Linked DNA regions of Oryctolagus cuniculus. The protein of the gene in region 2 binds, or shares a complex with, the protein of the main gene of each other region. Links are inferred from orthologs where the notes say so. Each region holds a gene or a part of one and is shown on either strand. Other genes may lie near its edges. The genes, in order: synaptobrevin homolog YKT6 and RABGGTB.

Region 1 (14,868 bases), on a different chromosome or scaffold from region 2:
TCAAAAACATCCTTCTTTGAATAACTAGCCCTTAGTGTTTCCCACTTGATTCATTTCAGCCAATACTTCCTCTGAGAAGTCTTCCCTGAAAACTCTAATGATCATAATCTGTGTTATCAGTAGGTTTATTTTTAAACAGATTATTTATTTTTTACTTTATTTGAAAGAGGAGAGAGAGAGCAAGAGCGAGAGAGAGAGAATCTCCCATCCACCAGGAAGCTGAAGATACAAGTTGGAACCAGGAATTGAACCTGGGTATTCCAATGTGGAATATGAGCATCTTAACTACAGGCTAATTGCCCACTCCCATTCCTCAGAAATCTGAAAATAGATCTACCATATGACCCAGCCATCCCACTCCTGGGAATGTACCCCAATGAAATCAGCATATGAAAAACTTACCTGTATCCCCATGTTTATTCTCAATAAATAATTCTCAGTAGTTCAATTCACAAGAGCTAAAATATGAAATCAACCCAGATGTCATCAACTGATGACTGAATAAAGAAATTGTGGTATATATACATGATGGAATACTACTCAGCTGTAAAAAAAAGAATGAAATCCTGTCTTTTTCAACAAAATGGATGCAATTGAAAACCATTATGCTTAGTGAATAAGCCAGTCCTAAAAAGACAAATATTGTATGTTTTCTCTGATATGTGGCAGTTAGTATAGAATATAAAAATGTATAAGAATTAAATGAATATCTTGTGATATGATTATTGTTTTTAGCCCTTGACTATACTTTTGTGGAACTGTGGGCTTCCTGCTTTTTACTTGTTGAATATTATGGCTAGTGGTGAATTAAAAAATAAATAAGAGGTACTGTGTGTGAACTACTGAACACAATTTGATCCATAGTATATTAATAAATATTTAATTTAAGTTTTATAAAATAAAAAATTCTAAATCAACATCAGTATAAAACTGTTACTCTTGAGGCTGGTGTTGTGGAACAATAGGTTAAGCCACTGTTTGCAACACCAGCAATCCATATCAGAGTGCTGGTTTGAATCTTGACTATTCTGCTTCTAATCCAGCTCCTTGCTAATGCTCCTGAGAAGGCAGTGGAAAATGGCCCAAGTGCTTGGTTCACAGCCACCCATTGTTGCTCCCCTTCTTCGTGGAGGAACGACACAGGACCCTGCCTAGGCTTCATATCCGAGTCACGGCACCATTATGTTGCTCCCCCTCTTCGCGGAGGAAGGACACTAGACCCTGCCTAGGTTTCCTATCCGAGTCACGGCACCATTATGTCGCTCCCCGTCTTCGTGGAGGAACGACACAGGACCCTGCGCTGTTCTTTTGTCTGCTCAGCCCTCCTTGGGTTTGCTGCTGGTTCTTCCCGGGTTGGCTACCGTCCCTTCCACCTCCGTGGAAGGGCGGTTCCCCCTGCCACTTTCCCCACTTCCGCGGGGGAACGGCACACCGCTGGCTGGCTCTCTCAGGGGCTGCTCAGATGTTCCTTCAGATAGATGTTCCTGGTGCATGTTGCTCTCTCCTCCTTTATAGTCCTCTTCCACCAATCCCAACTCTGCTACCCACACGCCGAGTACGCTGCTCTCCTCCAATCAGGAGCAGGTCCTGCTGTTTATTGGTTGAACTGGAGGCAGCTGTGTAGAAGCTGTTTCCTCCCTTCTCAGCGCCATATTGTGGGAGAGCAGATGCATAGAATAAGTCTTAATTCCAGTAACTTAGTCTAGTCCAAGTTGCTCCCAGTTGCTCCCCACAACCCATGGACGCTGATGGAGTTCCAGGCTCTTGACTTTGACATGGCCTAGCCCCAGCCATTGTGGCCACATGGGGAGTGAACCAATGGATGGAAGATCTTTCTCTCCCTCTCTCCCTCTCTCTTTCTCTTTCTCTCTCTCTCTATCCTTCCTCCCTCCCTCTCTTCCCATCTCTCTGCTTTTCATAAATAAATCTCAGAAATAAAATCCTACTCCTTAATGTCCTAAAACATGCCTTCATAATCTCTTAAATAGTACCTCTAGGTTTTGAATTTACTCAAGTAAACGTTCTGTCTTTCACCATCACTCTTCCCTTCATCTGTGCTCCAATCATATTTACTACTTGCAGTTCCTGAAGGCACCATGCTCTCTTAGATTTATGGGGATTTTCACATGCTGCTCCCTATGACTAAAATATTCTTAATTTCTCTATATATCTGGGTTAGATATCCATCTTCTGAGTTTCAGTAGTAATGCTTACATTCTATTTTCTCCAGCTGTCCATAGAAGACTGTGAAGGGATTACTTTTATTTAACTACATTTCTAGGGACTAGCATGGTAATTGAGACATTCCATGTGATCAACAAGAGTCAGAGGTAGTTGACTGAATGCATTTAAAATAATCATCAGATATTTTCTTTCTTTTTAAGGATTTATTTTATTTATTTATTTGAAAGCCAGAGTTACACAGAGAGAGAAGAGGCAGAGAGAAAGAGAGAGGGCTTCTATCCACTGTTTCACTTCCAAGATGCTGCAATGGCCGGAACTTCGCAGATCCAAAGCCAGGAGCCAGGAGCTTCCTCTGGGTCTCCCACACGGGTTCAGGGGCCCAAGGACTTGGACCATCTTCTACTGCTTTCCCAGGCCATAACAGAGAGCTGGATCAGAAGTGGAGCATCTGGGACTCGAACCAGAGCCCATATGGGATGCTGGCACTGTAGACAGCAGCTTTACCCACTACACCAAAGCGCCAGCCCAGTTTTTTTTCAATGTATAGCAATTTAGAAGTAGCAACACACAAGTAAATATCTGGTACATTAATTATAATAAATATTTCCTAAAGGCAAATTTCTTGATTACCTGAATTTTGTGACACTATTATTCCAGTTATAGGAATGGTATGCCTTTGAAATTTGTAAATGCCTTATGTAAAAACAAATACTTCAGAATTTTCTGCTGTTCCAAATTAGAGAAGTCTTGTGGGGAGCAACTGGGAGCAACTTGGACTAGACTAAGTTACTGGAATTAAGACTTATTCTATGCATCTGCTCTCCCACAATATGGCGCTGAGAAGGGAGGAAACAGCTTCTACACAGCTGCCTCCAGTTCAACCAATAAACAGCAGGACCTGCTCCTGATTGGAGGAGAGCAGCGTACTCGGCGTGTGGGTAGCAGAGTTGGGATTGGTGGAAGAGGACTATAAAGGAGGAGAGAGACAACATGCACCAGGAACATCTATCTGAAGGAACACCTGTGCAGCCCCCGAGAGAGCCGGCCGGCGGTGTGCCGTTCCCCCGCGGAAGTGGGGAATGTGGCAGGGGGAACCACCCTTCCACGGAGGTGGAGGGACGGTAGCCAACCCGGGAAGAACCAGCAGCAAACCCGGGGAGGGCTGAGCAGACAAAAGAACAGCGCAGGGTCCTGTGTCGTTCCTCCACGAAGACGGGGAGCGACATAATGGTGCCATGACTCGGATATGAAGCCTAGGCAGGGTTTAGTGTCGTTCCTCCACGAAGAGGGGGAGCGACATAATGGTGCCGTGACTTGGATAGGAAGCCTAGGCAGGGTTTAGTGTCGTTCCTCCACGAAGAGGGGGAGCGACATAATGGTGCCGTGACTCGGATATGAAGCCTAGGCAGGGTCCTGTGTTGTTCCTCCGCGAAGAGGGGGAGCGACAAGTCTGAAAAGCTACCATCTTTTATTTTAATGTTTTTTTTGAGTGAAGAATGGATTACATAGTATGTCTATCCAAACAGCATAAACATTCTACACTGAGGATGTATCTATAACAAATATAATTTAATTTATCTATTAGCAAAATTTATGTATTATTTCAAATAATATTTAAAATTTATATATTATTCCAAATAATACCCAAAAGCATGTGCAGAGGCTTCCAGAGAAGGGTGACCATAAAGTAAATTTCCCGAGTTCTTTACTGAGAGAGAACTCATTGGGTTCCAGTAGTTACCACTGATTCTTCATCTACTTTAGTCTCTTTAATGCAACACTCCACATCTTTATCTCAGATAGAACCCCCTATTACTCAAGAACCTAATAAAAACTCCTAACTCCAGTGAGGAAATGTTTGGTTTTCTGCTCTGAATACTGAATGAGATCATTATACTTATATTGACTTGTATTGATACAGAGATAAGCTCAAAGTTAACTAATAGTAACTAAGCCATAAGGCCCAGAGCACACAGGATGAGAAGAAATAGGTCATGTAGGGAATGATCAGCAGAGAAGACAGGATGACAAGCAGGAAATTATCTAAAACAATAACAACAGGAGATGAGTCATGCAAACAGTCCATATTGTTGGCACGTAGTAGTTAATTGCTCCTTTCAGAAGTCTGAGAAGAATTTGAAACTGTACAAATCACTAGTACCAGAAAACTATCAGTATCTTGCTATCCATTACTCTCCCAAAATTCTAAAACTATTGTAATTCAAACTTGTAGTATTGTACATTTCATTTCAGATTCTTTTCGTATAATTTATAGGAGGAATAATTCTTTGCACTTTTCATGTTCATAGAACCATCTTTCTCTTTTTAGTGTGTAGTGTCAGTTATCTAAATGTTGATGAAACAGTAATTGATAAATTTCAGTTATATGAAATTTTATTTAGACATATTTCTTTGTAATTCTGGGATTCGATAAATAGAGTATGTTGTGTATAAAGTAACTTAATATAGGCAAGGTTAATCAGGTCATAATAAAGCAATCCTTTATTGATGGAAGATCTAATTTTGTTAGGTTTAACTTTATGATAGTATATAACTTTAACCTCAAAAGAAAAAAAATTAATTGGGTTTCCCTAACATCTTTGAAAATATGAATTTAACCAAGACTTTCTAATACATAATATCTTTCTTATTCCTTGAAGGAAGTTACATTATCTAAAAAAGGCTTGTTCATTGCAACAAGTGTTTCAGTTAAAAACACTTTTCTTAATTACATATTTTGATGTCCAGTTATGAGACTCTGAGTTGCGCCGATCCGAGGCCAGGAGCCGGGAGCTTCTTCCAGGTCTCCCACATGGGTGCAGGGGCCCAAGGACTTGGGCCATCTTCTACTGCTTTCCCAGGCCATAGCAGAGAGCTGGATCAGAAGAGGAGTAGCCAGGACTAGAACTGGTGCCCATAAGAGATGCCGGCGCTTCAGGCCAGGGCATTAACCCACTGTGCCATAGCGCTGGCCCCACCCATAAACTTTTAATTCCATTTTCCAACAAATGTTTTGAAGTACTCTCATGTTTAAGAAAAGTAGGAATCTGGCTAAGAACACTGATCATCGCAGCAATTTAATCTGTGCTATTCCTATCAGTCCCTTGCCAGATGTGGGGTACTTTTGAATGCCAAGACAAAGTAACACCAGCAGTCTAGAAGCAATTGACGGGAGCAAAATAGGGTTGGAGCTCAATTCCCAAAGAATTGTCATTATTTGAAATGACTTCTGGGTCTTTCAAATCTTATATAATTTCACTTATATGGTTGTCTATATGTGACCTGACTCAGCTTGTCCAGTGTGAACAACCTTTTCACCAGAAGAATCTGTCCAAGATAATCAGAGACAATGGTAGGAAACAGATGCTGGATAAAAGTTGTGGCAAGGAAGCTCCGGCGGCTTGGTCAGCAGCTGGGCGCGGGGAGGCCGGGAGGCCGGCGGGCGGCGGTGGGGAGCCCCGGAGGCGGCCGCGCTGCTCCCTGCGAGCCGGCCCCGCGGCCAGGCGGGGGGCGCCGGGGCGCGGCGCCATGAAGCTGTACAGCCTCAGCGTCCTCTACAAAGGCGAGGCCAAGGTGGTGCTGCTCAAAGCCGCGTACGACGTGTCCTCCTTCAGCTTCTTCCAGAGGGCCAGCGTCCAGGAGTTCATGACCTTCACAAGTCAGCTGATTGTGGAGCGCTCGGCCAAAGGCAGCAGAGCTTCCGTCAAAGAGCAAGAGTACCTGTGCCATGTCTATGTCCGGAATGACAGTCTCGCGGGTGTGGTCATTGCTGACAGTGAGTACCCGTCCCGGGTCGCCTTCACCCTGCTAGAGAAGGTACTGGACGAGTTCTCCAAGCAGGTCGACAGGATAGAGTGGCCGGTGGGGTCCCCTGCCACAATACAGTACACGGCACTGGACGGTCACCTCAGCAGATACCAGAACCCTCGAGAAGCAGACCCCATGACTAAGGTACAAGCGGAACTAGACGAGACCAAAATCATTCTGCACAACACCATGGAGTCTCTGTTAGAGCGAGGGGAGAAGCTGGATGACCTGGTGTCCAAGTCGGAAGTGCTGGGAACACAGTCTAAGGCCTTCTACAAGACTGCCCGGAAGCAGAACTCCTGCTGTGCAATCATGTGACGCAGCATGCGCGGCCGCGCTGGGCCGTCACCGTCATCACATCAGGACCGCAGCCCGGACGGGAGAGGCCCCAGGTGGGGCAACCTGGCCATTTTTATTCTGGAATTTCTGGAAGGACCCACGGGGTGGTGGAGGGGTGGGGACGTTCGCATTCGTATGTCTGGTGATTTTTCGAAAGAATCTGAGGCCCCTGACGGTGTATTTTTGGGCAAATGAAACCATAAACTGAGTGGCTCCTGTGGGTACTGAAGGGCTGATCCCAGCCACCCCGGAAGTGCAGAGCCAGCTCTTGTTTGATCCTGGTATGTCTGGGTTTTATTTGTGCATTAACGATACTAACTCTCCAGGAAGCGGGGTGGGGGTGGGAGCCTCCCGTGACAGGGCCGGTGGGCAGTCAGCACCTGGGGAAGCTGCCGCAGGAGAGGGCGGCCCAGCGCCGGGCCTGGAGCCTGGCAGCGGGCCAGCACTCGGGCCCAAGGACGCGGGGCATCGCCTGCGCTGTTCACCTGCCTGTGCCAGGGCCGCCCAGCTGACACTTGATGCAGATACGCTCTTGGGGGTGTGAGTCGTGTCCCGGCGTCCCGGCGTCCTGGCGCGTGGGGTGTGTTCCGCTGGAAGACCCGCACAGGTGATTCGCTGGCCCGAGGCGGGCGCGCTGCCTTGGCTCGGAGTTTGACTTGAACACCCAGGTGGAAGCAGCAGGTGCCGCCGTCTCGGAACGCAGGACTGCGGGTGCCTGAGCACATGGGCCCTTCCGTGGGCCCAGCAGTTGGAGTGCTCCCATCACCCGCCTGTGGTCAGGGGCAGGCTTGGTCCAAGCTGGCCCCTGCCCCCGAGGAGGCCACTGTGACCGCGGAAACCAGGTGCCCTCGTGCCAGTGCCACATTCCAAGCCGCCTCGTCATGCCCCACTGCGCTCAGCCTGCACCCCTGGGGTTCAGTCCCCTCGTCGCTGGACAGTGTCATCTGCGAGTTTTGAGCCAGTGTGGCCACATCCTCCTGAGCCTACCACACTGCTCTGGCAGCTCCCACTGTCCCCACGGGAGGGCCTGGTGGCCCTGACTCCCTGACGGGGTGAGAGTGCACAGTGGGGGGGGCCTTATTCTTGTTCTGAGGGCTCCCTGGCTGTTCTACCTGCAGCTGCCTTTTGTCTCCGGCCCCTGGGCTTGCCCAAGGGCTCCAGCTTACCTGCCATGGCCTGCTCAGGTCACTTCCCACTGCTGCAGAACCCCCAGCCGGGGCCCTCTGGGAGGTGCAGACCCAGCCCACACACTGGGGCCTCAGGTGGAGGGGGGGGACCCGGATCTTGCAGGAGGAGGAGTGCTGGGGCATCACCTCTGCACGTCTGCAGAGGATGCTGGGAGATACGGGGTGGAGGTGTGAACTTGGAGGAAGAGGGAGACCTTTGTCCACAGCCCCTGGCCCAGCAGGGCAGCGGGGGCAGGTGGGTCTGACTCTGGCCCTGTCTTTGATGGGCACCCGCCCCATGCTTCCCTGCTCCCTGCTGTATTCGGAAGTCAAATCATTGGTGAGAGTGTATTTTAATAACTGCTGCCTCACTTCTCTGTGTTCTGTTTGAGAAACTCCCGTTGGGATAAAATTGTCTTCTGAAAAAAAAAAAAAAAAGTTGTGGCAAAATATTGGCCAAATAAAATCACTGAAATTAAAAGCTGAGGGTGAGCATTTGGCAAAGCAGTTAAACAGCTTGAGACACCTGTATTGCATATCATAGTGTCTGGGACTGAGTGCCAGCTTTGCTCTTGATTCCAGCTTCTTGCTAATGTGCACCCTGTGAGGCAGTGGGTGATGACTCAAGTAGTTGGGTCCCTTCCACCCCCAAAGAAGACTTGGACTGAGTTCTGGGCTACCGGATTCAGCCTGGCTCAGGCTTCACTGTTGTGGGCATATGGGGAATGAATCAGCAAATGGTTGATCTTGGTCTGTCTCTCTGTCTGTTGTCTCTCTCTGCCATTCAAATAAACAAAAATAAATATAAACTTTAGAAAATGAAAAGCTGACAAATGAATGGTACTTAACTGGTTCTGAAAAGCTGAGCTGGGCATATTCCTATAAATCTGAAATATCTTGCATGTTTCTATGACATGCATACAGTCAAGAGAGACCTCCTGAATAGGTACTAAGCCTAACATTGGCAAATTCTGAGGCTTTGAGCTAGCAGGAAGTAAAAGCTGAGATAGAGTAGTAAAGTGCTTGACTAAGTTTTCGAAGAACACAGAATCCCTCAGCAAAGACTGGGAGATTTACCGGTTACAGGTGTTTAGGAAAAGCTTTTTTCAATCTTTAGGTGACCATTAAGCCAAAAGAAGAAATACTTTGTGGCTATGCAGGACAAAGAATACAAATTTTGTGAAATAAATTGAGATAAATAATATAAATAAATAAAAATAAACAATTTAATAATAAATATAAATGATAAAAATAAAATAAATTGATATAAAAAAAAATCTGGAAACAACCAACCCTGAGTTGGAGTGTGTGTGTGTGTGTGTGTGCGCGCGCGTGTCTGTATGTGTGTTTGGGGGAAGAGTAGAATGTGATTTCTAGAGTTGCCACAATATATTTTAGATAAAATGCCCAGTTTTAAATTGTATACACACACAACCATACACATAGTGGAAAGACACACAAAAAAATCCACAATCCATACACATGGGAAAAATGCAAATACAAATTGTCCTGAGGAATCAAGCATTAGACTTACTAGGCAAACCTTCTAAATCAAGTACTTCAAACATGTTCAAAAACTAAAAGGAAGCATGAGAAAAATATGTCAACAAAGAAAGAATATTTACAGGCACAGAATTTTTCAAAGGAAACAAAAAGAAACTTTTGAGTAAAAACATATCAGTAATTGAAATAAAAACATTACCAGAGATTTCCAGTTTCAGGGCTGGCATGTAACAAGCTTAGAATCACCATTCTGACCTAATAGGTTAAAAAAAAAAAAAACCAGAACAAGAGAATAATTATAACAAATCATCCCAGATCTCTCAGATAAGTGGCACAATGGAGCAAATGGCTACCTCAAACACTGAAGAAACTGACAGCAAATACAAAGAGTCTTTCTTCAATATTTTTCACTGAAATAAACTTATCTTTTAATTCCATTTGTCAGCAAATTTTTAAAGTTTCCTGGGCCGGCGCCACGGCTCACTTGGCTAATCTTATGCCTGCAGCACCGGCACCCTGGTTCTAGTCCCGGTTGGGGCGCCGGATTCTGTCCTGGTGCTCCTCTTCCAGTCCAGCTCTCTGCTGTGGCCCGGGAGGGCAGTGGAGGATAGCCCAAGTCCTTGGGCCCTGCACCCCATGGGAGACCAGGAGGCTCCTGGCTTCGGATTGGTGCAGTGCACCAGCTGTAGCGGCCATTTGCGGGGGTGAACCAACGGAAAGCAAGACCTTTCTCTCTCTCTCTCTCTCTCTCTCTCTCTCTCTCTCTCACTGTCTAAATCTGCCTGTCAAAAAAAAAATTTCCCTGGAAAGAGAAGAAATCCACAAGCAAGGACTTCCATGGGAACACTAGTATTAGGGCAAGAATGCTAACTAGTAACGAAAAAGCCTATAAAGCTACAAAATTCCATGATAAAAATAAACAGCTAAATTCAGAATACTCTAACAGTGATTTTAGTGACAAAATAACATCTTTAACATGAAATTTGAAAAACTTATTAAAATAATAGCTACAACAATTTCTTAAGGGATATTCAACATAAAATGATATAAATCATGGCAACAAACGAGAAAATTTGGGGTACCAATGCAGTAAAATACTGGATTTTTAAGAATGCAACTGAAGTTGTCAGCTTAAAATAGCCTGCTTTAACTGTAAGATGTTTTATGTAAGCCTCATGGTAACTAAAAAGCAAAGCAGTTAAGTAGATAAACGAAAGGCAGGATCAACACATCATACTGAAGAAATTCATCTAATCACAATGGAATTCAGCAAGAGAGGAAATAAAGAACAAAGGTTCCATGATACAGCCAGAGAACAATTAACAAACCAGCTATAGTAAGTTGCCACCTATCAAAAATCACCTCGAATGGACATGAATTAAATTCTCCAATCAAAAAGCCATACAATGGTTAAATGAATTAAAATATAAACAAGGACCAACTGTGTACTGCCTAGCAGACACTATTCACCTTTAAGAACACATATATATATATTTTTTTTCAAGCTAAACACACTTTATTGTTACTCTAGGCGACTAGGAGGAGAGATCGCTCAAGCCTACTCTTGCGGGCACTAGGCACTATGGACCAGGAGCTTCTCCCCGCCGGCACTAGGCACTACAGACTGGGGAGAGGGAGGCTGAGCAACCTCTGGTTTACAGCGGCTGAGGGTACCTTTATATACAGTTTCTAGAGGCTAGCCCCGCCCACATTCTGACCCCCCCAGGGTCCCGTCGTCATGGCAACGACAGTTTGTGGTTAGGCCGCCCTTTTTCAAATCTTTGTTTATTTATTTATTTATTTAATGAGCATAAATTTCCAAAGTACAGCTTATGGATTACAATAGCTTCCTCCCCCCCATAACTTCCCTCCCACCCACAATGCTCCCCTCTCCCACTCCCTCTCCCTTTCCCCTTCACATCAAGATTCACTTTCAATTATCTTTATATACAGAAGATCAATTTAGCTTATATTAAGTAAAGATTTCCACATTTTGCTCCCACACAGAAACGCAAAGTGTAAAATACTATTTGAGTACTAGTTATAGCATTAATTAAACACCTAAGAGTAATTGTGTATTAATTACAGAGTTCAACCAACAGTTTTAAGTAGAATATAAAATGCAACTTTTGTATTGTTGTGGCTCCCCGCCCCAACCTCCCTCCCTCCCGTGGCCCTCCCCTCACCCACTCCCTCTCCCATCCCGCCCTTCATCACGTTTCATTTTCAATTACCTTCATATACTGAAGATCAACTTAGTATATACTAAGTAGGGATTTCAACAGGCTGCACTCACACAACCGAACCAGGTATAGGGTATTGTTCGACTAGTAAGTAGTGTTGTTTTTGAGTTTCATAGTTAAACACATTAAGGACAGAGATCCTGCGTGGGGAGCATGAACCCAGTGACTCCCGTTGTTGATTTAACAATTGGCACTCTTATTTATGATGTCAGCAATCACCCGAGACTCTTTCTATGAGCTGTCTAGGCTATGGAAGCCCCTTGAGTTCACCAACTCTGAACTTGTTTAGTCAAGGCCATATCACAGTGGAGGTTCCTTCCTCCCTTCAGAGAAAGGCGCCTCTCTCCTTGATGGCCTGATCCTTCTGCTTGGGTCTTGTTCACCAGGATCTTTCATTTAGATTGTTTTTGGCCACCGTGTCATGGCTTTCCATGCCTGTGAGACTCTCATGGACCTTTTAGTCAGATCCGAATGTCCCAAGGGTTGATTCTGAGGCAGGAGTGCTGTTTTGGGCATTTGCCATTCTATGAGTCTGCTGTGTGTCCTGCTTCCCCCGCAGGATCATTCTCTCCCTTTTGATTCTATCTTTCATTATTTGCTTACACTGGTCTTATTTGTGTAATCTCTTTGACACTTACCCTATCTTTTTGATCGGTTGTGTATTTATACTTATCACTTTACCAAGTATGCTGGCATTGGTACCTGCCTCCTTGGTAAGGTTGAGTTGAAATCCCCTGGCACGTTTCTAGTTCCACCATTGGAGGTAGGTCTGAGTGAGTATGTGCCATCCTCTATATCTCCTCCCTCTCTTATTCCCACTCCCATGTTCCACAGAGATCAATTTTCTGTTAATTTTTAAACGCTTAAGAATGGTTGTGCATTGATTGCAGAGTTCAACCAGTGGTCTTGAGAACACACATATATTGAAAGTAAAAGGATGGGAAAAGACAATCCATGCAAACAGAAAATGAAAAGAAGTAAGAGAACCTATATTGATGTAAGAAAAAATAGACTTTCAGTCAAAAACTGTAAATGAGGCAAAGAAGACAATTATATAATGCTAAAGGTGTCGATTCACCTAAAAGTTATAACAATTATAAATATAAGTACACCAGTCACGGAGAACATAAATATATAAAATAAATAGTAATAGATGTTAAGAAAATGATACACTGCAATAAAATAACAAGCTCCAATACTCCACTCTCCAAAATGGGCAGATTACACAGACAAAAAAAGGAAACATTGAACTTGAACTACATTATAGCATGGTGGGGAAACTTTTTCTCCTAAGGACCATTTGGATATTTATAACAACTTTTGCAGGCTATACAAAATTATCAACTTAAAATTAACCTGCTATAGACTTTTAGAATTTTGAGTCCTGCCTGTGGTTACCGTGGTAGGGACAGACCAAATGATTTCACAGGCCTTATGCAGCCTGCCAGCTGAACATTCCTCGTCCCTATTAGATCAAATGAATCTGACAAACATATATAAAATATTTCATCCAATAACAGTAGAATATACATTCTTTTCAGATGCACATACAAAATTCCTCAGGATAGATCATATAATTGGCCACAGAACAAATCTTAATAAATTTAAGAAGATTAAAAGCATATCAAGTATCTTGTCCATCCACCATCATATAAATCTAGAAATAAACAATAGGAGGTATTTTATTTAAAAGTTAATAACAAATGTCTGAATTACCAGCAGGTGAAAGTTGAAAGGGAAATTTTAAAATGCCCTAAGATAAATGAAAATGACAACATAACATACCAAAACTTATTGGATGTAACAGAAAGCACAAAATAAATGAGCTATCAATGCATCACAAGGACCTGAAAAAACAACAAACCAAACCCAAAATTAGTAGGAGGAAAAAAATAATTAGAATTAGAGAAGCAATAAACAAAATTGAAACAAGAATACAAAAATCAGTGAAATGAAGAGCTGGCTTTTTGAAAAAAAAAAAAAAGCAAAATTGACATGCCATTGGCCCAACTAACCAAAAAGAGAGAGAGAAGACCCATATAAATAGAATCAAAGATGATAAAGGAAATTTAACAACAGAGACCACAGATATAAAAAGAATCTTCAGGAATTACTACAAAGAACTGTATGCCAACACAGGGGGAAACCTAGAAGAAATGGATAGATTCCTGGACACATGCAATCTACCAAAATTGAGTCATGAAGACACAGAAAACTTAAACAGATCAATAACCAAGACAGAGATTGAATTAGTAATAAAGACCAACTAGCTTTACTGCTGAATTCTACAACATGTTTAAAAAAAGAATTAATTCAATTTTTCTCCTGTTATTTAAATAACTGAAAGGTATAGAGTTCTCCCAAACTCCTTCTATGAAGCCACATAACCTTAATTTTTAAACCTGAAAAAGATAAAACAGAGAGAGAGAACTACCGACCAATATCACTGAAGAACATAGGTGCAAAAATCCTCAACAAAATGCTAGCTAATTGAATCCAACAACGCATCAGAATGTGCTATATTGCATTAACAAACTTAAGAATAAAAATCATATGATTATTTCAATAGATGTTGAGAGAGCCTTTGCTAAAATAAAACATCCTTTCATGATGAAAACTTCATGGAAATTGGGTATTGAAGGAACATTCCTCAACACAATCAAGGCAATTTATGACAAACCAACAGCCAGCATCTTATTGTAAAGGGGAAAGGTTGGAAACATTCCTATTAAGATAAGGAATCAAACACAGATGACTGAACCATGAAAAAAAAAGAGAAATCTGTTTAGATCAAGTATAAATAATGGTATCCAATAAAAAATCTTCCATGAAATAAAAATCCAGGAGTTTGTCTTCACTCTTGAATTCTATCCAACATTTAAAGAAGAACTAATACTAATATTAATAGTATTCCAAAAAAATTGAAGAGGAAGGAAATTTTCAAAAATCACTCTATGAGGCCAGCATTACCCTGATATCAAAAACAGGCAAAACACAACCACTAATCATAACTAGAGGCCAACATTCTTATGGAACATACATGCAAAATATTTAAGAAAATATGAATAAACTTAATTCAACAGCACATTGAAAGCATTATTCACTATGATCAAGTAGTATTTATCCCTGTGATACAAGGATAGTTCAACATATGCAAATCAGTTAATGTGATACATAACATTAAAAGAATGAATGGCAAATCCATGTGGTCATCTCATTAGGTACGGAAAATGCATGTGACAAAATTCAACATCCTTTCATGTCAAAAATCACTCATCAAATTAGATATAAAAGGAATTCATCTCAACATAATGAAGGTCATATATGACAAGACAATAATTAATATTATACTCAATGGTAGAAAATTGAATATTTTTTCTCTAAGATCAAGAAAAAGATCAAGATACCCATATCTTAGCTCTTCATTAGAAATTGATAATCTCTAATGAAACCAATCTCATAGTAATAGGGTAATACTTCTATTCAACAAAATACTGGTAGTCCTAGTCAGAGCAAGTAGACAAGAGAAAGAAATAAATGTCATCTAAATTGGAAATGAAGAAAATTAAATCATCTGTTCACCAACAGTGTGATTGCATATGAACCTGTATTAGTCCATTAGGCTT
Region 2 (16,127 bases):
AAAAGGATCCACCTAAAACAAAAATTCACAGATTACAAAATGAATGGTCTCCCCCAAAACCTTGCTTCAAAATATTTTATTTATACTGCAGCCAATTCCACTTTGTGTACAGGCTTTAACATTTTCAGAAATAAACTTAAACCTGCTTCAAAATATGACCTTTATCATATAATATTTACTAACTTGTTTAATAGGCAAGGAGATTTTTTCTGACACTATTCAGTAAAGTACACTGCTTTGACGTTACATGCCTGGAAATGCCTACATCAATGAAAGTAATGCAACACTAAAAAGATATATAAACATTAGAAATATACTTGCCATATCTCCTGGCCTGTCTGCAAATCCCCCCGTTTCTTCATCTTGACATGCTAAGATGAAACTCCGCAGTTTCTCTCTATCAATCCAATGAAGTCTTCCGATAATCTTTAGAGAAGCCAACACCCACCATGAATAGCACACATCTGGTAACTAGGAGTAGGGGAAAGCAACAAATAACTACTAGTATTAATTCTGTTCTTAAGTCATTAGTAACAATTTAAAGTGAAGTCTCATCTAAGCAATCTGATATTCAAACGGTGAGAAGTAACAAAAAACATTAAAATATGTTTGCAATGTTTGCTTATAATTAAAAGATAACCAGTGGGAAAGAGAAAACTAACTCCAATTTATAAGTACCCATTCTAAATGTTTCAGGGCTCCGTGACAAGTATATATCTACATTTCTAACTGCATCAATAAATTCCTAACTCAGCCCATTAACCAAGAAGCTGATGAGAGGTTCATGAAATCTCTTGAGGGGGCTGCAGTAGGTAAAGCCACCACCTGCAGAGCCAGATTCCCATTGGGTGCTGGGACTCTCCACTTCTGATCCACTCTCCCATGGTCTGAGAGAGCAGTGGGAAGATGGCCAAAGTCCTTGGGCCCCTGCACCCCCGTGGGAGACCAGGAAGAAGCTCCTGGCTTTGGATGGGCTCAGCTCCAGCTGTTGTGGCAAGCTGGGGAGTGAACCAGACAGAAGGCCTCCCTCCCTCCCTCCCTGCAACTCTGCAGATGGAAGACTTGCTCCCTCTGCCTCTCAAATAAATCTTTATAAAAGTCATCAAAAAATTAAAAAAAAAAGAAATCCCTGAGAATGTTACAATAATCTACATACAACATTTTCCAATGCTTTCCAACTAGGCACCAATTTGCCTTAATATCTTAGATCTAAAGCCTGGCTCCCCAAATTTCTTACGCATGATTCAGGGGCACACTAAGTGTATCCAAGAGCAGAAGCGTTTCAATCTTTTGGATTCTACTTTTGCCACTGGCAGGCTTTTTGAGATATTATAATGGAAGAAATGATAAGTTGAAAAGTCACAATAGGAGGAAGGACAAGGACTTCCTCATTACTACGAAGTGGCATTGATTCAAGCTTATGAAATAATACCTTCTCTGGTCTTCCATTAAGTCCACCTGAAGGCAACTGTCGTTCACAAAGCCACCAACCAAGTAAATCAGAATTTACTTGATGCAGCTGACTAGTAATAGCCAGGAATCCTGTGCAACAATAGATCTAAAATTACAGACATAAAGTACATGTGTATAATAATGTGACAGTAAAATAATGACAAAATCCAACTATTCAAATTATTAAAACATTTTTATCACTTTTGCCTTCTGATCTGATGATTCAACATTTCTAATTTTAAATAATTGCAAAAATCCAAGTATACTACTAAAATACATGTCATGGCATGTCTCTTATGAGACCTACAGATAAGGTTAAGTATAGTGTAAGTATACTGCACAAAGGGATGCTACATATGATGGGAGATTTTATACTACTCAGACCAATGAAAAACTTAGTCTTAAGTTGACCACAGGTATTACAATTGTGGAATGCAAAGTCATGCATAAGGGAGCAACCACAAAAAGTACTCTGGCACAAGCAATGAGCTGCCCGTTTGGCTCATGGTAGGTAGAAATGTTTTCAACTGCATAGTTAAAAATTGAATATATTTCGGTTCAACTGCTTGGGCCAGAGAGATCTACTAACAGAATGGTACATAATGCAAAATATTGTGGAAAAGCTTTCCGTAATTCTTAACATCCAATGTTACACCCCAATGATATTACACTTAACACATTTCCCTGTCATCACAATGGTAAATCCTTCAAAATTGATACTAAAATTTAATCTGAATTAAGTTACCTGCCCAGCATGAGATTCAGAACCCGGTCTGCAACCAAACCCACCATCAAAGTTCATGCAAGATAAAACAAATTCGATGGCTTTTTCCACATCAATTGCATCAAGCTTCCCCTATAAACAAAGAAATATGCCTGTTAAATTTCAAAAGTCCTCATGGATGCTTCATCATTTCAATATTCAAAGCTTGGGGCAAGCACTGTGGTGCAGCAGGCTGGGCCACACTTGGGATGGCCACCCATCTGTTCATATCCCAAGTCAAAGTGTGTGAATAGAGGATTCTCAGTTATTATTTCCAATCCAGCTTTCTGTGAAGTACACCCAGCAGTGATGGCTCATGTATTTGGGATCCCTGCCACCGAATGGAAGACCATGCATGGCTCTGACCTAGCCCAGTCCCTGGCTCTTGTGGACAATTGGGAGTGAACCTCTGTGTGTCACTCTGCCTTCCAAATAAACAAACCTTAAGTATTTTCAAAGCTTACCAACAGAGCTAACGTTGCCACCGCACAGAAAGAGAATCTTGTATCAATTTCTCCTAAAACAAAAAGGAATCAATCAAACCATTATCAGACTTCCTTCTGATATAGTACAAGTTACCTAAAAACAAAATCTGTACACCTACTAGCTTGAATTTCCAAGAGTTCAAGCTTAACATCAGGTAGTCAGAACTGCTTAAATCTGAAGTTCTAAGTCTAATAACTAAAAAACTACTCTGTCAAAAATAACAGCAAATTATCAATGTTGTTTATGGGGGTCCAGAAAGGGAAGGAAACATCTGAAAAAAAACTAGCTAATTTCAAAAAAAAAAAATAAAACTTACCCTTATTTAATAAAAAGTAGATTTTCACATCCCATGAAGCAGCTGGTCTTTCTGGCCTGCACTGTGTTTAGCCCTAAAACACAGATTATCTACATTTATCAAATAAAAATCCTATTCCCTCCCTCCACACAAATATTCAGTAAGTTTGTAAAGTTTTTTTAGAAGTATTTTTCCCTTTCCAGCAAGTACTTTTTAAAAACTTTACAAAACCACCAAATATTGGGGGAAAAAAATTTCACCTACCTTATCTTTTAGACTGGCCCCCTCTGTTCCAGTGCTCCTGTATGCTGTTATAACTACCACAGTGCATGCTGGAACTTCCAGCAGACCATTAATTCCAATTAGACCAGCTGCTTCGTGGGACCTGAAAAAATGAAATACTTAAAAAAAAATCTACAAACTGGCTCTAAGCGAAGTGAGGACATTTTAATATTGGTATTTGGGAAGCATGGACTAAATATGACATTACCCCAAATGTCTCCAGCAAATGAACCATCTTCTTTCTGTAGACTTTGGACATATTCCACAACTTTATTCACGTCAATAACATTAATACTATCATACAGAGTAAGAATCTGCAACAAAGAAACATTAAGTTAATGCCCTCTGTTCTGATGCCCTCTCCTCAACTATCTTTGAAGTTATAAAGCATGTCTGAGTGTATACCGAAAACTTTCCCCCAATATACAATCTTGTTAGTCAACAAAATTGAGACACTAACCAAAAAGCAATTATTTTTCCACGTATAAACTACAATGCAGCATCCCAAAATACTCAAATATACTGTATGTAAAAGTACTTATTTACATACAGAAATAGTTGGGCCAGCCGGAGGCCAAGAGCTTCTTTCTGGTTTCCCATGTGGTACAGGGGCCCAAGTTCTTGGGGCTGTATTTTGCTGCTTTATCAAGTGCATTAGCAGGGAGGTTGACAGGAAGTGGAGCAGCCAAGACTCAAACCAACACCTATATGGCATGCTGGCATTGCAGCTGGAGGCTTTAGCTACTATGGTACAACAATGCCCCCCCCCAAAATAGTATTTTAAGTTGTTGTGGTGCATTGAGCTAAGCTGTGCCTCCTGTATCAGAGCACCTGGGAAGGCAGAGAGTCCTTGGGAATCTGCCAACAATGTGGGAGACCCATATAAACTCCAGGCTCCTGGCTTTGGCCTGGTCCAGCCCTGGCCATCTGAGGAATAAGCAGCAGATGAAAGGTAGGTCTCTCTCCTTCAAATAAACAATTCAAAATAAATAGAAATTTTTTTTCAATGAGTCTTTAAGTCATATGGGTTGGCATTAAGTATTGAGGCAATGAACTAACCTGCCACTTTGTTTGCATGCACCCTACCTAGGAGTGCTAGGTCAAGTTTCAGCTACTCTGCCTCCAACACAGACCTGGATGGCGTTTTTCCTGGGCGCTGGGCCCAGCCCTTACTATTGTGACCATTTGTATTGGCCTTCAGCAGAATGAAGACCTGTCATTCCAACTTAAGGAAAAAAAAAACAGGGCTGGTGATGTGGCACTTTTGGGTGCTAGTTCCTGTCCTGGTTGTTCCACTTCTGATCCAGCTCCCTCCTAACACACCTGGGAAAGCAGCAGGGGATGGCCTAAGTGCCTGGGCCCATGCACCCATGTGGGAGAAGCTCATGGCTCTGGACATGCCCAGATCTGGTCATTATGGCCATTTGGGGAGTGGACCAGCAGATAATTTCTTTCCTTTTCCAATCAATAAATAAATCTAAAAACTCCACTTAAATATCTTTCAAATGCTTACATATATTAAGCACAGAATTTTTAATCCTCCAAGGTCTCAGTGTAATTTTATAATTCACATCAATGGTGATTCAGCTAATACATGCCATTCCATCATTGACCTTGTAGGACAGACTCCACTTGTACATGGAACTTTACAGTATCAGTTTTTCATCTTCCTGATAAAGTTTCAACTCCTGGCTTTCATTTAAGAGCATTTACTATTAAGCAATTGAAACTTTTAAGTTATTTACCTGGACAGCACTAAGAGTATACAAAAGGTGAGGGTCATGTCCAATACTTGCACTTATTCCACCACACTCATGTTGGCATGACTTAATAAATGTCAGAATTTCTTCTCTATTCATGCGATGAAGTTGTCCCATGAGATCCATTACTGTCAGACCCCAATAGATGCCACTCATCCTCAAGTACTCGGACATACAGTATTCCTAAAATACATAATTTTTTAACTTTGTCAGTTTGAATTGATGATTTAAGTGGTGAAATGCATAAAGCAAATTCATAGGCATATCACTGATTACTTCATGTGATCATAACAGTATCACTAGTTAGCAATAAATTTAACATTAATTAGAAAAAACAATCACTTGTGAAGCATGATAAAAAAATTCATGTGGTTAATATCACTAAGAGTTTAGCTCTGCCCAAGCACCAACCAAAAGTAAGGTAAATTAGAAAATTCATCTGCTTATTTTCTCATAGTGTTCAGGTAAGTATTCATTCTTTTAATATATGGACTTTGCACCACACCTATTATGCATTTTGTAATGACATTAACCAGTTGAAACTTGAAATTACCTAAGCATGGAAATCATAGCATGCACAGATGAAAATGAAGATTCTAGAAACAAATTTCTGTTTCAGTTATCAATGGATTATACTTGAGAAGTCTAAAACTTAAATTTGCTACCAATCCAAATTCAGCATTTACAGAGTATAGAGTATGTTAAGTCAAAACTTCAACACCAGATGTCCTCCACAATCCAGGTAATCTAGCTGATCAGATACATTAAGGAAAAAAAAATACCCACTCCCAGCTCTATCTGTTCATTTTCCTAAGATTGTCCCAAGGGATACTGCTTTTCTTTTTCAAAAATATTCAGGTAAAACTTTTTCAAGGTCTCAGCGTAATTCTAGAGCTAAAGTGTTATTACACATCAGCATTAAATTCAGGTAATACATGCCAACACATCATTGACCTTAAAAGCTTCACCCAAACTACAACAGAAACCTGTATCATGCCTCAAAATCCTAACCCACTTTGTCTGGCGTTGCTAAGTACCATTTTGGTTCTGATATACCTCCCCAATCTCACATATCCACGATGCACTTAATCTGGAGGGCACATCTTCAGTTGTATACAATTTTAACAAACAGGACATAAAACACTGCCCTACTGCTTGTGCCTAACAGACCTCTTTAAAAACTTTCCCACATAAAATCATACATACGTAATCATCTTTCTTTGAGCCATAGGATGCAATATAATCAGCGTGTTTCTCCAATAATAGGGAGTTGGGAGCATCTGGTTTGATAACAACATCCTTCTGAGGTGTACCCTTGCAAAACAAAACAAGAGTTACCTTATCAATGTTTACTTTGTTCTCAAAGTGTACATTCAATCTACTTTTTTACTTTCATTTCATCCTGTCACAGGAAAATTCAATTGCACGTGAGTGACCAAAAAGAATGTAAAGCATTATAGTTCTCATTCAGTCAAGGGTCAGGTATTTTTCAGGTCTCAGAGTAATTCTAGAGCTAAAGTAGTAATAATCAACTTTAAATTCAGAATACATGCCAGCTCATCATTGACCTGAAAAAAAAGGACCACTTGCATTTGTTGCTGCTTACCATTCACTTTTAAGAGCTAAATAAAACAAACACCATAGGTTATCAAAAACATGTCGCAAATTTCAATTCCTGCTGAACCTAATTCAGGTTTTCGAAGAACCTTCCACACCACCAAAATTACTCAAATTTTCAAGGAAGGAGTCTTTCCAACTCCATCTTCTCCACCCTCAATCGCAGTGTCTGGGTTTCCAACCAGTCCCCAGGTAATGAGGACACTGCTCTAGTTCTCGTCTACCTCTTCCTAACTCCGCAATGGAGTTACTCTAAGTAGGTCACGACGATTCCTCAAAGTGATTATGTAGCGAATTCCCTGATTCCATTTAAAGATGGAGGTCTCCAAGCGAGACCACACTACGAATCTTAACTATTTCGGGAATCCTAAAAAATAAATTTATAAATAACACGTATTCGTTAAGGACAAAAAGCCAACAAGCAGTTCTGGCTTTTAAAGTAATTATGAAATCAGGTCGCTTAATCTAGTGAGGCCTGCGAGACAGGCGGAAGCCTGGACAAAATTAGAAGCGGCGACTGTGCCCGCGAGGTCTGCAGCAATGCTGAGTAACACTTCAGCCCAAGTCTTCCAGAAAACTTCAAAGGCCAGAGTCTTAAATCAACCATCCTGCAACACTCGGTGGACAACCACATCGTAACTACAGGGCTCTACGCTACCTCACTCTGTCTCCTTACGACCCAACCACACAGTACCAAAAAGCTGAGACCCATCACTCACCATGTCTAGGAGCGAAAAGAAAGAAAAGTCCGCTGTCCCGGGAGACTTAAACGGCGTGCGCCTGCGCAGATGCGCTCCTAAGGCCCCCTCCGCCACCTGACATAGCTGGCCACAGTCCTGCCTGAAGGACGCAGCCACTCCGTGTCCTAGGACCCCACCGGATGTTCGTAGCTGTCCTCGCCGCCTGTTAGGAAAGGTCGCGGCGCTGGTTTGCGGCTACCGAGTTTACACCAATGTCTGAAACGCAATGTGAGTTGCGTTTAAGAAATTATTTGTTCTTGGGGTCGTTTGTGATTTGAATATCTGAAAGGACTGTTACTGGAATGCCTGCTTGCACATGGAAAGTGTTTGGTGAATTTATTTTGAATACATGTTAATAAATTGTTCAAGTTCCATTCCTGTTTGCCTTAACCATTCCAGGACCCGCCCCGGAATTACTTAGAAAAACACACAAACCCACATACCTGGTTAGGAGTTTTCCACAAAATTTAATTTGCTAGGTGAGTTACAGCTATTTTCATTTGTGAATTCTTTACACTTAGAGTACCCATTACAAAATATGGGCACCGTGTCCCCTAACAATGGTAAGTTTGGAAAGGGGTTGCTCACATACTGACAAGTGGGCTCTCCGTAATTGAGGGGCCAAGTCCAGGGCGCAGCGGTGGTAGGTTACATTCTTTCTCGCTGTAATTATGTTGATTTTGCATTTATAGCCCCAGGGCTACTATACTAAATGGATGTGAGTTCAGAATTGTTATCTAGTTTTGGTGAGTTGAGCCTTTCATCATTTTAAAAAATATTTTTTAAAAATTTTATTTTTATTTGAAATGCAGAAACAGGGAGACAGATATACCATCTGCTTGTTCACTTCCCCAAATTGTCTGCTATAACCCAGAATAGACCAGGCTGAAGCCCAGAACTGGGAATCAGTCCAGGTGTCCCACATGGGTGGCAGAAGGGATTACCAGCTGTCTTTCAGGCTGTGGGTTACCAGGAAGGTGGAATTGGTAGCAGAGTTGGGACTCTTGAACCCAGGCACTCAAATATGGAATAGGGGCATCGCAAGCAACTTCTTAACTGTTGGACCACACATCCACCTCAAGCCTTTAATCATTAAGTGAAGATAAATCTCCAGCCCCAATAATGGCAATTTATTTTTTAAGATCTGCTTTATTATAATCTACTTTTTTAAATAGTAATTTCCCTAGCTTTCTTTTGATTAATAGTTATCTCTAAGAGAGGGTTTTGTTTTGTTTTGTTTTGTTTTTTAAGATTTTATTTGAAAGGCAGAGTGACAGAGAAGGATGGATGAAGAAGAGATCTTCCATCTGCTGGTTTGCTGCCCAAATAGCTGCAACTCCCAAGGCTGGGCCAGGCTGAAGCAAAGGAGCCTGGAACTCCTATTTGGGTCTCCCACATGGGTGGCAGTGTCCCAAGTACTTGGGCTATCTTCCACTGCCTTCCAGGCACATTAACATGGAGCTGGATCCCAAGCAGAGCAGCAGGGGCTGGAATTGGTACTCCTGTGTTGCAGGCAGCAGCTTAAGCTGCTTTGCCACAACAATGGCCCCAAGAGGGATTTTTTTTCTTCAACATTTTACTTTAAACCTTTGTGTGCACTTAGATTTTGAGAGAATGATGGGCTGGCACTGTGGCGTAGAGGGTAAAGCCACCTCTTCCAGTGCCAGCATCCTATATGGGCGCTGGTTCTAGTCCCAGCTGCTCCACTTCTGATCCACGGATCTTCTATGGCCTGGGAAAGCAGTAGAAGATGGCCCAAGTCCTTGGGCCCCTGCACCCATGTGGGAGACCTGGAAGAATCTCCTGCCTCCTGGCTTTGGATCGCACAGCTCCAGCCGTTGTGGCCAACAGGGAAGTGAACCAGCAGTTGGAAGACTTCTTTCTCTCTGCCTCTCCTCTCTATGTAACTCTTTCAAATGAATAAATACATGTAAAAAAAAAAAAAAAGAATTATGGAAGCCTCATATTCAAATTCAGTAACATTCACATTGAGTCAATACAGGCTGAAGGATTGAAAAATATACTTCACTTTCTACTTCCTAGGTGCTTTCCACAAATATGTAATGGTTACTGAGAATGTGCCAATATTTTTGGTTTTAGGGGTACATTGATAACCAAAATAGAAATACACACAGAATATATTCTAACAATCTTATAATCACATTCTGCAATTCTATTTCTATGTATTAATCCAACAAATATATTCCCTTGGGTGTGAAGTGACTTATGTACAAGAATATTCATAACAGTCATTTTTATAATTTTACAAATATCTTAATTGGCCATCAGAAGTTTAAGTAGGAACATTCAGCCTAGCCGGTAAGATGCCCACTTTCCATGTCAGAGTGCTTGGATTCAATTCCTGGCATGGCTCCAGACCCCAGCTTCCGTCAAGGCAGACCCAGACAAGCAGTGGTTCTGGCCCCAGCCCATCCTCAGCCATTGCAGGCATTAGGGGAGAACCAACAAATGGGAACTCGCTGTCTCTCCAAAAAAAAAAAAAAAAAGTTAAAGAAAAAACCACTATCGTGGGATGGTATTGTGGTACATTGGGTTAAGCTGCCACTTGGATGCCTGCATCCCATATCAGAGTATCAATTTGGGTCTTAGCACTCCAATTCCAATCCAGCTCTCCTAATGTCCCTGGAAAACAGCAGATGATGGCTCAGGTACTTGAGTCCATGCCAACCATGTGTGAGACCAGCTTGGAGCTCCTAGCTCTAGGCTTCAGCTTGGCCCAACTCTGTTAGGGCAATTTAGGGAGTGAACCAGCAGATAAAGACCTCTCTCTCTTTCTGTCATTCCTTTCAGCCTTTTAAATAAATAAATCTTAAAAAAAAAAAAAAAAACTGTGATAATTCATTATGCAGCCATTAAAAAGAAAAGAGGGGCCTACACTGTGGCACAGCAGGTTAAACTGCTTCTGATAGTGCCGGCGTCCCATATGGGCGCCAGTTCAAGTCCTGCCTGCTACACTTCTGATTCAGTTCCCTGCTAATGGGCCTGGGAAAGCAAGAGGTGACCCAAATTCTTGGGCCCCTGCACCCAGGTGGGAGACCTGGATGAAACTCCTGGCTCCTGACTTTGGCCTGACCCAGCCCTGACTGATGGGGCTGTCTAGGGAGAGAACCTGTCTTTCCCTCTCTATAACTCTGAATTTCAAACAATTAAGTAAATCTTAAAAAAATGAGGAAATTAAATATAATGCAACAGAATAATCTTCAAAATATCATAAGTGAAAACAAGCACAAAAAATTATCAAAAAGTATAGATTGCTACTATTTGCATAGGGAACAAAAGGAAAATATATGTCTTGAATTGCTAAAAGCATTTGCCTGCAAGGAGACGAGATGGTCAGGAGATAGGATAATAAGAATAGCTTGCTTTTCACTAAACATTCTGGTATTCTGGAAATGTGGAAAAAGTTCTTACTGGCTAATGTCATAAAGCATATGGCTATTCAGATTTTTGAGACATTAAGTATTTAAAAAATGTGCATTATAGAATTAATGTAGTAAATAAGTCGCTTCTGAAGCAGCAAATGTAGAAGAAGCATATTATGTGCTTCATATTCCATTTTTAAAATTGTGTTTCTTTCTATATATTTTATGTGTCTCTGATTTCTTTACCACTCTATATTTATTTTTAAGATTTTGTTCTTCTGTTGCTTTCTCAGCCACATTAGCAGGGAACTGGATTAGAAGTGGAATACCTGGGACTCAAACTGGCTTCTTAGGGAATGCTTACCTTGCAGGTAGCAGCTTAACCTGCAGGCCCCTCCACCCTAGTTCTAATTCAGTACAAGCAAATGAAATTTTGTCTAAAGTCCTGAAATTACAACTCTTCATAACTAAGTAGTTAACAATAATAAAAGGAACCCTAGATAGGTAAAATGCAAGGAGTAGAATCAGAGAGCCATTTAAAACAAACTTTTATGTAAAATTGGAGATTAAAGAAGCATTTTTTTAAAAAGCTGTGTTTGGGGGCTGGCACTGTGGTATGGTGGGTAAGTGCTGGAATCCCATATGGGCAGTGGTTCAAGACCTGGCTGCTCTACTTCTCATCCAGCCCTCTGCTAATGTGTCTAGGAAAGCAGCAGAGGGTGGCTCAAGTGCTTTGGCCCTTGCAACTATTTGGGAGACTTGGAGGGAGTTCCTGTCTCCTGGCTTTGGCCTGGCTCAGCCCTGGCCATTGTGGCCATTTTGGGAGTGAACCAGCCAATAGAAGATTTTCTCTCTCTCCCCCTCCCTCCCTCCCTCCCTCTGTGTAACTCCACCTTTCAAATAAACAAAATACATCTTAAAAAAATTGTGTACTTTAATTATGAACTACAAGAAAGACCTTGAAAGCCACTTTTTACAAAAGAAATATTTGAAGTTTTAAGGTTTAAAGTGGTTGATAGAAGTTTGTTTTAATAATAGATTGGTTCGGGGGCCGGCGCTATGGCACAAGTGGGTTAATGCCCTGGCCTGAAGTGCCAGCATCCAATATGGGCGCCAGTTACATGGGGTGCCAGTTTGAGACCCGGCTGCTCCACTTCCGATCCAGGTCTCTCCTATGGCCTGGGAAAACAGTAGAAGATGGTCCAAGTCCTTGGGCCCCTGAACCCGCGAGGGAGACCCAGAAGAAGCTCCTGACTCCTAGATCAGCGCAGCTCCAGCCGTTGTGGCCATTTGGGGAGTGAACCAGTGGATGGAAAACCTCTCTCTCTCTGCCTCTCCTCTCTGTGTGTAACTCCAATTTTCAAAATAAGTAAATCTTTAAAAAGATAATAATAATAGATTGGTTCCCTCTTGATTAGAGTTATTTAAAAATCGGTATGTTCATTTTACATTGCATGCATCATGATTTTATCATTTTGAAGGTTATGCTTTACCAGCTTTGAGGTCACAGATACCCAAATGGACTCACAGAGTCAGGTAAAGTATATTGCTTGAAAATAACACCTTAAGGGGCCTGCACTGTGGCATGGTGGGTGAAGCCGCCGCCTGTAGTGCTGGCATCCCATGTGGGCGCCGGTTCGAGACCCAGTCGCTCCGCTTCCAATCCATCTCTCTGCTATGGCCTGGGACGGCAGTAGAAGATGGCACAAGTCCTTGGACCCCTAAACCCACGTGGGAGACCGGAGGAAGCTCTTGGCTCCTGGCTTCGGATTGGCACAGCTCCAGCCATTGCAGCCAACTGGGGAGTGAGCCAATGGATGGAGGATCTCTCTCTCTCTCTCTCTCTCTCTCTGCCTTTCTCTGTGTAACTCTTTCAAATAAATAAATAAATCCTTAAAAAAGAAAACACCTTGGGTTGAGGCACATCTTTTTTTGGCTCTCAAAGTGACCCCCAAATAATAGTAGGGCTTTAACTTTTTTTTTTTTAAACTATATTTATGTAGGATTTTCCCTCCCTACTGATTTTTGTGTTTGTTTTTGGTTGCAGATTCAAGCATGGTCCATAAATTAGTCACTTTTTAATCAATGAAATATGGTATGCTATTTCTGAAGTGGCAGCAGTGATTGAGACTGCTTGTTCCATTTGATGATCTCTGTCAGTGTTAGGAATAATTTTTCTCTTGGAAGATAATAGAGAATCTGATGTGTTGGTCCATATAGTTATGAGTGTTAATAAATTAAGAACTTCTTACCTACTGAGAAGGAGAAAAGCTCTTGGAAATCTGAGCAGCTAAGTATATTTTTAGCCTGTGACTTAAGTGTTTTTTTTGTTTGTTTGTTTGTTTGTTTTTTTTTTTTTTTAATTTTTGACAGGCAGAGTGGACAGTGAGAGAGAGAGACAGAGAGAGAAAGGTCTTCCTTTGCCGTTGGTTCACCCTCCAATGGCCGCCGCTGCAGCCGGCGCACCGCACTGATCCGATGGCAGGAGCCAGGATCCAGGTGCTTTTCCTGGTCTCCCATGGGGTGCAGGGCCCAAGCACCTGGGCCATCCTCCACTGCACTCCCTGGCCATAGCAGAGAGCTGGCCTGGAAGAGGGGCAACCGGGACAGAATCCGGCGCCCCAACCGGGACTAGAACCCGGTGTGCCGGCGCCGCAAGGTGGAGGATTAGCCTATTGAGCCACGGCGCCGGCTCTGTGACTTAAGTTTTATATCTGAAACTCTGTGCCTGTAAATTTGTGATTGAGAAAGGCCTTGACTTCTCATTACATGTCCATGAAATGTTTTCAAACTTTTTAATAGGATAAGTTAATAAATTTATTAATTTATGTCATAACAAAGAACTCTGTTTAATGAGCTTGCTTCCTTGTTTTACTCATTAACCCCCTCACCAACAATGTGAGAGATTAATATTTTACCTTCTGTCTAGATAGTGGAGATATTCTGTCTTTTTTTTTTTTTTTTTTTTGACAGGCAGAGTGGTCTGTGAGAGAGAGACAGAGAGAAAGGTCTTCCTTTTTGCCATTGGTTCACCCTCCAATGGCCGCTGCGGCCGGTGTACTGCAGCCGGCACATCGCGCTGATCCGAAGCCAGGAGCCAGGTACTTCTCCTGGTCTCCCATGGGGTGCAGGGTCCAAGGACTTGGGCCATCCTCCACTGCACTCCCCGGCCATAGCAGAGGGCTGGCCTGGAAGAGGGGCAACCGGGACAGAATCTGGCGCCCTGACCAGGGCTAGAACCCGGTGTGCCGGCGCTGCAAGGCGGAGATTAGCCTATTGAGCCGCGGTGCCGGCCCAGATATTCTGTCTTACCAGACAGAATGCACAGGATGACTTTGTCATCCTGAGTTATTTTTAAAATTTTATTTATTTGAGAGATAGAGAGGGAAAGACAGATAAAGTTCCCACATACTGGCTCATTCCCCAGATGTCCACAACTGCTCAGTGAAGCTGTGAACCAAGGACACAATCCAGGTCTCTCCCATGGGTGGCAGGAATGCAACTATTTGAACAGTCACTATTGCTTCCCAAAGTCTACACTGTCAGGAAGCTGGAGCCAGCAATCTAACTGAAGTACTATGATAAGGAATGCAGACATCCCAACTGCTAGGCCAAACATCTAACCCTAGCCATGAAGTATTTAAAAAAGACACAGAGAGAGAGACAGAGAGAGAGACAAAGGAGAGAGAGAGAGAGAGAGAGAGAGAGAGAGAGAGACAAAGGAAGAAAGAAAAAGAAAGGCCTCATTTGAAAAATAGCTTAAGTTCCTTATATTATCCTATGCTGGATTTTTTTCATACTTTATTTATTTTAAAATATTTATTGTTCCTTTAAGTAGGGACAGGCTGGGGGGGTGGGGGTGGGGTTGTGGTCCAGCAGGTTAGGCTGCTGCTCACAATGTCCCCATCCCTTATGGGAGTGTAGAATGCAGCCATGATGGATCAAGTTCTTGGGTCCCTGCCACCTATGTGGGAGACCCACATGGAGTTCCTGATTCCTGGCTTTGGCCTGGACCAGTCTCAGCTGTTCTGGGCATTAAGGGATTGAACCAGTGGGTGGAAGATCTCTGGGTCTCTCTCCCTCCCTCTCTGTGTTACTGTGCCTTTCAAATAAATAAATGAATCTTTAAAAAATAAAAAGGGACAAGAACCTTTAATATTAACTTAATCGAGTGATGTCTGACAGCTCTTTTGATTTCACCTTCCCACAGTCCAATGTTTAATTTAAACATTTGTATTAATTAAACATTTGTATTTTATACCTACAGTTCTCTTTGAAGTTTTCTGCAGGGCCTCTGAAAAATCACAAAAATGTGTTTATTTACTTTATGTAAAGAGGATGTCAGAAATAATTGACTTTATTTCATGTGCTCCATATTTCCTGTCAATGCTCTTGGAAAAGTTGGTAAATAAGAAAGAAGACTAACTTGGCCTTTCTTACTTTAAATTTGTATTGGTAGCGGCTGGTCCTGTGGCTTAGCAGGTTAAGCTGCTGCCTGTGGTGCGGGCAGGCATCCCAGTTGGGTGCCTGGCTGTTCCACTTCCTGTCCAGCTCCCTTCTAATGTGCCTGGGAAAGCAGCAGAAGATGGCCCAAGTGCTTGGGGTCCTGCACCCTCACCCATGTTGGGGACCCAAAAAAAGCCTCTAGCTCCTGGCTTCATCCTGGCTCAGCTCTGGAGATTGATTACAGCCATTTGGGGAGTGAAGCAGCAGATGGAAGATCTGTCTCTCCTCTTTCTAACTCTGCCTTTCAAATAAAATAAATAAATCTTTTAAAAAAATTTTTATAGGTAAAATATTATTACTATAGGGGGCCAGCTCTGTGGTATAGAAGGTTAAGCCTCCGCCTGCAGGGCCAGCATCCCATATAGGCACTGCTTTGAGTTCCGGCTGCTCCATTTCCAATCCAGCTCCCTGCCAATGCTCCTGGGACAGCAGTGGAAGATGGCCCAAGTGCTTGGGCCCCTATACCCACTTGGGAGACCCAGGTGAAGCTCCTGGCTTTGGCCTGGCCCAGCCCCAGCCCCACCTGTTGCAGCCATTTGGAGAGTGAACCAACAAATGGGGGACCTCTCTCTGAATCTCCCTTTCTCTGTCTCTGGCTCTGCCTTTCAAATAAATAAAATAAATCTTTAAAAATTTATATTAATATGAATGTCTGAAATGTGCACTTATGAGAACATGTTGGAAATGTACTCTCATTTCCCTGAGAAGGAAACTGAAATTTTCTTCCCTGAGGAAAATTCTTCCCTGGGGAAGAAACTTAAATTCTTATGAAATAGTTTTGTACTGTGGTGAAATTGAGAACTTTACCCTCTATCCTGATACTGGATGAGGTAATTACGATAG

What was found.
Region 1: the proteins of RABGGTB (region 2) and synaptobrevin homolog YKT6 are in contact, whole or in part, in a crystal structure (PDB 6J7F), measured with the Homo sapiens proteins. The link is inferred for Oryctolagus cuniculus from reciprocal best matches to the Homo sapiens genes RABGGTB and YKT6. Residues at the interface, in NP_004573.2 of Homo sapiens: Thr3, Pro4, Gln5, Lys6, Asp7, Ile9, Lys11, Tyr37, Leu45, Trp52, Leu236, Asp238, Cys240, Arg281, Gly283, Asp284, Met285, Asp287, Phe289, His290; in NP_006546.1 of Homo sapiens: Lys60, Gln62, Asp63, Leu65, Asn83, Glu84, Tyr85, Pro86, Ser87, Leu153, Asn155, Thr156, Glu158, Arg189, Lys190, Cys194, Cys195.

What each region holds. Positions count from the first base shown.
Region 1 is NC_091453.1:62,999,379-63,014,246, forward strand, and holds synaptobrevin homolog YKT6, read left to right. Parts: upstream 1-5,571; 5' UTR 5,572-5,712; coding exon 5,713-6,309; 3' UTR 6,310-6,606; downstream 6,607-14,868. UniProt on the Homo sapiens protein: Vesicular soluble NSF attachment protein receptor (v-SNARE) mediating vesicle docking and fusion to a specific acceptor cellular compartment. Functions in endoplasmic reticulum to Golgi transport; as part of a SNARE complex composed of GOSR1, GOSR2 and STX5.
Region 2 is NC_091438.1:96,204,299-96,220,425, forward strand, and holds the start of RABGGTB (geranylgeranyl transferase type-2 subunit beta), read right to left. Parts: upstream 9,897-16,127; 5' UTR 7,378-9,896; coding exon 7,375-7,377; intron 6,608-7,374; exon of another isoform or gene 6,529-6,607; intron 6,353-6,528; coding exon 6,245-6,352; intron 5,994-6,244; exon of another isoform or gene 5,910-5,993; intron 5,222-5,909; coding exon 5,024-5,221; intron 4,893-5,023; exon of another isoform or gene 4,822-4,892; intron 3,593-4,821; coding exon 3,487-3,592; intron 2,733-3,486; coding exon 2,680-2,732; intron 2,309-2,679; coding exon 2,198-2,308; intron 1,559-2,197; coding exon 1,433-1,558; intron 472-1,432; coding exon 322-471; intron 13-321; coding exon 1-12. UniProt on the Homo sapiens protein: Catalyzes the transfer of a geranylgeranyl moiety from geranylgeranyl diphosphate to both cysteines of Rab proteins with the C-terminal sequence -XXCC, -XCXC and -CCXX, such as RAB1A, RAB3A, RAB5A and RAB7A.